Linked DNA regions of Cricetulus griseus. The protein of the gene in region 1 binds, or shares a complex with, the protein of each later gene. Links are inferred from orthologs where the notes say so. Each region holds a gene or a part of one and is shown on either strand. Other genes may lie near its edges.

Region 1 (3,279 bases):
CCTATCAGAACGCACAGAGAGATTTGAAGCCAGCAATCAAACAGTTCAAATGGCTGAACGTTTTTTGAATGGCCATGAAAATGAAATAAACAGATGGTTTAGGGAATTTGAGAATGGCCCAGTTTTTGGAGCAAAGACAGATAAAAGGGTTTATGCAAATGGTGAAATAAACCACAACATGAAACAAGAGACTCACACTTTTTGTAAGGAGGGATTTGGACTAGCATCTTCTGGAAATGCTAATTTTACAGGCTTTTCGTACAGACATCCTAGAGAGCACCAAGAAAATGTTCCTGCAATGCAGTCCAGGGTTCATTCTGAAGCAAGGTCTATGAGTGAGCATTTCTTAGGCATTGATGCATTTGACAGTCAGATTGTTGGGTCAAAGTTAGCAACCTCAGCATCACATAGCTCAGAAGCTGGCAGATCTGGCTTTGACTTTAAGCATGCCCCACCAACCTATGAAGATGTGATTGCTGGCCATATCCTAGATCTTTCAGATTCGCCTACAAATCTCAGAAGAGATTTTCAGAAGACATGGCAGGAGAGTGAAAGAGTTTTTAGGCGCATGGGCTATGAAACCTCAGATGCACAAGCCACTGAAATGAGCAGGGCCTTCCAGGAGGAATCTGCCTTTATAAGTGGTAAATGAGATTGAAGAGTGTGAAAGGAGATTAACCCATTTGAAAGCATGTGTGCCAAAGCCAAATGATTTGCAATTAAAACAGTGTGTGGAAATAACCCAGTAACAAACCAGGACTAACAGCTACCCTGTAGGCTTGTGATTCTTTACTGCCCTTGCTTTCGTTACTTTCTTTTTTAACAACAACATTTAATAGGATTGATCAGCAGTATGTATTACTGAAACCTGTTCTTCAAACTCAAGTTAAACAGGAGTTTGAAGAAGTCAACAGACATAACAACTATTGTGGTGGTTTTCAAAAGAGTGGAACTATTTGTTTGCTACAGAACAAACTCATTATTAAAATTTCAAATACAATTTACTTCATTCAATAGTTTATGGTGGTATCAGATTAAAACTTTTGGCCTGGTATTGACATATTTTAACTGAATACTTAAATAAGTCTCTGCAGTGGATAAAATACACATTAGTAATAGCCTCAGACAGGACTTACAGTATATAATATGCTGTTAGTATTTTCATCAATATGTTAAAAGTGCAGATGTAACATTAAACATCTAATATATTTAGCTATTGCAGTTGAATTGAGGTGGTAATATCCCCTGATACCAATGTTTTCTGTAACGTATGTTTTCATCTTTATGACGGTTCAATTTACCTCATTCATAGATGAGGATAAACAATACATATTAAAACTTGATTATGTTTGTAAGATGAGAGGTTTAAATCATAAGAACATAATACATGATATTTTTAACATCAGAAGATAACTTACTCCGTCTTATTTCCTACACGTGTTACAATTAATGAGGTTTCATGATAAAAGGATCAGACATAGTTAATAGGCATCATTAGTATACTCAGTCCATTCTTTTAGACAGATTGAAAGAAATAGCAAACTTAAAAATAAAAACCACTGAAATTAATAATTATGCCTCTCATATTTACAACATATGTGTCTAGTTTATCAAGTTAATATGGTTTCTTAATGTGCTTGCTTCTGGCATAATTAAGCAAAGATGTCTAATTAATTTCAAATGCTCAGTTTTTGTTAAGGCAGATCAAAACCATAGAAAACACAAAGAAGCTGGTGTTGAATATAGAAATGTGTCCCTACTGGAATCACAATTGCAAAGGAGTCCCCTCAATCATGGAGAGGCAGAGCTTAACAAAGAAAGTACTTTTTATATGAAGAACCTTGACATACCTGCTTTCATAGGTGACAAATACAAAAGCTTATTTATTCTAGGAAGAGTATAGTGAAAATCAAAACCAGTATTTAATTGATGTTTCTATGTCCATTGCAAGACACTAGAGTGCCCTGGTTAGTAATGTAACTACTGTTATTTCCTAAAGTCCACCATTCACGTGAGAGCAATGGGAAGTGACTTAGGTACTGAGTAAAAGAAGCAGCACAAAATGGGAAAAATAGATGTAAGGGTTCAAAAGGCTGTGAAGTTCAAGTCGGTTAGGAAAAGAGAGAGGTCCCTGATCGTTTCATGTATGGTAGAGTATTATTACAAGGAAGCTAACAGCTGGTGTCATGAAGAAACCCTGATATTATTGAGATAATACTTAATCAAACACTATACAATGTCTTGGCTCATAAAAATTTGTATGAACTTTATAATGATTTATGTGCATACTTCTAGAAAGGAAAATTTTGTAGAAAACTTTATATGTATGGAAAAGGTAGTTGCTTTAAATGATACATTTTCTTAAAGTTCTCCATGACTGAGGTTACTATATATATTCAATATATTAATGTAAGTGAGCATAATACACATTTATGTGTTTATTATATAATAATCCAGTTTCTATACAGTATAATATTAGAGGCATTAAATGTTTGTACTAGATCCTCAAATTCATGTTACTGTACACTTTCCAGCGAAAGATACATATAAAGTCAATTACTGGGGATTTTTCACTTTATCTGCATGTCAAATTAATACATTATTTGTTTTTTATGCTATTGCAATTGTGATGGAAAGTAGAAACTTATAAGCCTTTATAAATTTTTATTTTCAGAAACTGCTGGTACAAGACAAGGAAATCTGCATAATTTGTCAAAAGACAGTTTACCCAATGGAGTGCCTCATAGCAGACAAGCAGAGCTTTCATAAATCATGTTTTAGATGCCATCATTGCAGCGGTAAACTGAGGTAAAATGCCATGTTGAGTGTGTGTAGCACATAGATTGAAGAACCTTGGAGCATATGTATACTATCTAGTCTCTGGAGAGAAGTAGAATTTTCCAGCTACCACAGCTGCCCTCAGTTGCTACAGTCACACGGGGGGATGGGGAGGGGGGAGTATGGCATTGCTGAGGTTCACTCTCAACACTTCCCTTTTGAGTTGGGGGAATTCTGCAAGTAAGAAAGCATCCCCAGCTACTGTGCAAGTCAGGTTTTTTTTTAAGTGAGTCTGGTGTCTAAAAGTATTAGCTCTAGATTAGAAGCTGGTAAGCTCTTTCTGTAAAGGTCAGATAGTGAATGTTGTTATTTGGCAGGCTATTCTGCTCCCATCAGGACTTGTGTTTCACTGGAATCCAAGAATGGCTGGTTGGAGAAGACAGGCGGGTGTGGCTGTAAATGAATAGGCTTGGATATGTTCCAGGGAAACCTTGTATCCCA
Region 2 (4,094 bases), on another chromosome or scaffold:
TCAATCCCAGGGAACTTGCCACAAAATTGCCCTCAAAAAACAGAAAACACAGATGCATCTCCAGGACAGGATGGAGTGTAAAATGCCACCAAATCTTTTGAAGGTTCCTATTTTAATTTAGCATGATGGCTGGAGAGTAGTGACCTAGGTTAAATGTGGGGCACCAATCTAGTCCTGCATAATTAGAAACACCATACAGTACACGCTCAAGCCTAATTCAGTGTGATAAAACATATACCTATATATATGTAATTTTAACTCCATGGCTGATACATTTTAGACAACCAGCTGGCTATGCAACTATATAGAGAAGATGAAAATTTCAAATTTAGAAATTGTATTGATATGAAGAAAAAGGAATTCAAAATATAAGGTCATTTCCTCCCCACAAAAATACTGATGTCCCTGGATAAGATCAATTAACTTTCATTTAGTGATATTTGACTGGAACATCTAGGAACATAAACATGTAATTTATCTCAGTATCTGTTTGTTTGCTTGTTTATTTACTATTTATTTTGCAGTTGAAAACCTTTAAGGTACAGAGAGACACACTGGTGCTCGACCGTATCCTCAGCCCGACCATTTGGTTTTAAAATGATTGGGTAAACCCTTCCTTTAATTATTATTTTAGAAATTAGTGTAATTTTTCAGAATCTTTATTAACCCATGTAAAAATTCTTGAAACTAAATGTCTTAGGAAATACAGAATTCTGTGACAAAATAAAATGTAAGCACATATCCAGGCATAAATCAAGGGCCAATAATCATGTTCTAAATATTTAAGTAGTATAGACATTTTGCCATGAAACATAACTCTGTAATAAACATAAATTTCTTCTGTGTGTTTGATTTCATGGCATGGAGTTTGCATTCACAACGTGGTAAGAAGGCAGTGTGCCTCCCTACAGGAAGGGTCTTATGCCACCAATAAGCAATCCTGCCCAAAACACTCCAATAAATCATCTACCTAATTAAAGCCACAGCCCAGCAATAATTACACTCCAATAAAGACATATAAAAGGCTGAAGAGGCAATGCCTTCAGAGTTGGATTTTAAGTGATGACATTGCTGCTACTACTGTTAGTCTGAGAGATAGTAGTAAGTTTTACATGGATATCAACTATGAGAAGTAACAACGGAGCAAAGAGAAAGGGCTTTGTGTTCACCTCCCTGTTTTAACCTCTGTGTGCTTCCATCTTCTTGCTTCTAAAGTGGAGGGGAAATAGGAGATCCAACATCACAAGCTACAGCCCCTGGCACATAGTGCTCAATAAGTTTTAACTGCCACTGGTGTCAAGGTCACTACTGTCATTGTCACTTTCTTACTATTGCAGCTTACAAAGAATTTTCACATGTTAAGTAAATTATGGTTTTTACTAAGCAGCAACACAAATAAAAGTTAGTTTAAAATTTAACTAGATCACATCATGTCTGGAATATGGGAAGAAGTGTGCACATTTCCATTGACTACCACCTTTTTATCAAGCATGGACAAATAGATATAAAAGTTACAGATGGAGTGGCTCAGAGTAGCTAGCATTTATGTAGTCATCACAGTGTTGTAAAGGATAGATGCAGCATTTTCCATGTATATTTCATCTTAGAATTATAAACATTACACTTGAAGACCTAAACCCACCAACATCAATAACATTTCCAAGGTTATTGTTGAGTTGACTCAGGGAAGTTGGCCTTGGAGAACTGGTCAATAAACTACCCTACTGCCCAGGAATCAAACTTTGCATATTAAAAACAACAGACGCAGACAGTTTTGCACTTGCTCCAGAGTGCAGGCACAACTGTACTTCATTTCATAGAACTCCATGGTTTTTTTTTTTATGCCAGCAATTCTCTTATATTGTTTTTTGAGGATGTGGTGGGCTCTCATCCCTAGTGAGAAATACTCTTCTTTATGCCATCTAGAATTCTATTTATATATTTATCATGTATGTGTACAGGTTTACATTAAATAACTCTGGATATCCTTGGAATACAATATAAACTAGCTTCAGTTTCTTAAAAAAATGTTCCTTTTCAATGATATTATCATGTAAACCAGAGTTTTTAATGTACAGTTTCCTTAATACACACACACACACACACACACACACACACACACCCTATATTGCAAAGAAATGTTAGGTGCAAGTAAAGGTACATGCATTTTCATGATTTGGAAAAATAATTGCATTTGACAGAAACTTCATAAGCACCATTCATTTAGCAGAAGGTCTACCATACTGAAAATCATTTTCTCAGACAGAAGCCCTTCCAAGATGAATTCTGCTACTGGGGAGTTCTCAAACACCATGCAATTCAGGGTGATTGCACAACTTAGATGAGACAGGACCTGGATTAGGAATGAGGACAATTGCTCCAGCAGAATTTTTCTGCTGATCGACCTTAGGGAAATCACCTAATATGTTTGTGTTTAGTTCTATGATCTAAAAATGACTATGCTCTAAGAGGTGACCTCAGGGTTTTCTCTCCAGCCCCATGATTCTGCACCGAAGCCATTCCATGTGAACAAAGCAAGTAAAACAAAACTCTTTAGAGCCACTCACATCACTAATGAGATCAGTGCACTTTCGGGCCAGTTCCATGCTTAGGTCTTCAATAACAGGTTTAAGAAATGCCTGTGGAAAATAAAAAGAGAAAGAAAAGGGCCATTTTCTCCTTGTCTGTTAAAGGACTAAAACCTGTTTTTAAGCAAGTTTTTTCTCACTCACCTTGTCCTCCTGATTTTCTTCCTCCTCCACCTTTTCCTCTTCAGTGTCATCTTTTACATCCTCAAATACAGGCACCTTCATTCTTACCCTATCAAAATATTAATGCTTTAAAACTTGTTGTGTCTTTTCATGGACCACCACACCCTTGTGTTCCGAAGTCACTTGGGCACTGGACGAAACACACTTGCAGGACTTTATCCCTGGCTCATGTCACTCTCCTTATCTCAATGATGTGTCAGTGAACACCGAGGATATTCAGGGTTGGCCAGGTCCAGCCTCACCAGTGAAGACTCGCATCTTCTGAGGCAAAGCTCAGCTTCACAAACTTAAAATCAACATTCTTTAGATGGCTCAAGACAAAAAATATTTTTATAGTTCACTAACTCAATTCATCAAAAAAAAAAATTGGCTTAAGAGGCCTGGAAGATTCTAGAAATCTACTTAGCTATAACACCCAAGATAGCATGGCCTGAAGCCTGTTATCTCAAAAATTTCTCAACTTGATCTAAATAAAGCTTTCTCTGGAATGTCAGACATGGCTCTGTTTCCACCGAGTGAATCTGCACCATACAAAGTCATTTCATTAACTTAAATTAAATGTTTTATGAGATTTTAACATACTTCTCACATCCCCCAAAACTACTCACTTCGTATTAGCTGATTAGAGGCTAATAATTTATTGCAAAAAGCCCTTTGAACCACTTCAAAGAATCTATTCTGAGTTAATTATGACTGTTAATCTCAAATTAGGGAATAGTGTATCACATTAATTGTAAACATCATTAAACATGAGAAGTTGAAGTTAATATATGTTGATATTTTATTTAAGACTTCTAGAAACATCACTGCTTCAAAAATAACCATCCTCTTTGCATTTTGCTTGTCTCTGAGTGAATTTTCACATATTCACTAGTCATGTTTTTGTAATCTCACTGTATTCCACAATTGGAAAATTAAGAAATAAAGTGATCATATTTGTCATGTGACGTATCTCACTAGTTCTTTTCTTTGAGACAGGGTTTCTCTGTGTAGCTTTGGAGCCTATCTTGGTACTCGCTCTGGAGACCAGGCTGGCCTCGAACTCACAGAGATCCGCCTGTCTCTGCCTCCCGAGTGCTGGGATTAAAGGTGTTCGACACCAATACCCGGGGTCACTAGTTCTTAAATTAAGAAACTAGTTTTCACAGAAAATTCTTTGTTGTCAGGTTAAGCAACTCTAAGAATCTATCACTCCTGATGTGTTAACTCAGCTGTTTAAATTTTAGGATAAATTTCCTTTTCACAAAATTATAGCATGTCAGTAATCAGTAAAAAACACCATATGGTGACTTATTAAATTAATTATATAAAATGCATCTTTAT

What was found. Proteins that work in one complex are often made in the same cells at the same time.
Region 2: the proteins of Xirp2 (region 1) and Nebulette are in contact, whole or in part, in a crystal structure (PDB 4F14), measured with the Homo sapiens proteins. The link is inferred for Cricetulus griseus from reciprocal best matches to the Homo sapiens genes XIRP2 and NEBL. Residues at the interface, in NP_689594.4 of Homo sapiens: Pro2420, Pro2421, Pro2422, Thr2423, Leu2424, Pro2425, Lys2426, Pro2427; in NP_006384.1 of Homo sapiens: Tyr963, Asp964, Tyr965, Asp969, Asp971, Glu972, Ile987, Asp988, Asp989, Gly990, Trp991, Met1004, Pro1006, Asn1008, Tyr1009.

Annotation. Positions count from the first base shown.
Region 1 is NC_048599.1:107,671,073-107,674,351, reverse strand, and holds the end of Xirp2 (xin actin-binding repeat-containing protein 2), read left to right. Parts: coding exon 1-644; intron 645-2,674; coding exon 2,675-2,769; downstream 2,770-3,279.
Region 2 is NC_048596.1:215,822,680-215,826,773, reverse strand, and holds the start of Nebulette (nebulette), read right to left. Parts: upstream 2,814-4,094; coding exon 2,733-2,813; intron 2,640-2,732; coding exon 2,568-2,639; intron 1-2,567. UniProt on the Homo sapiens protein: Binds to actin and plays an important role in the assembly of the Z-disk. May functionally link sarcomeric actin to the desmin intermediate filaments in the heart muscle sarcomeres.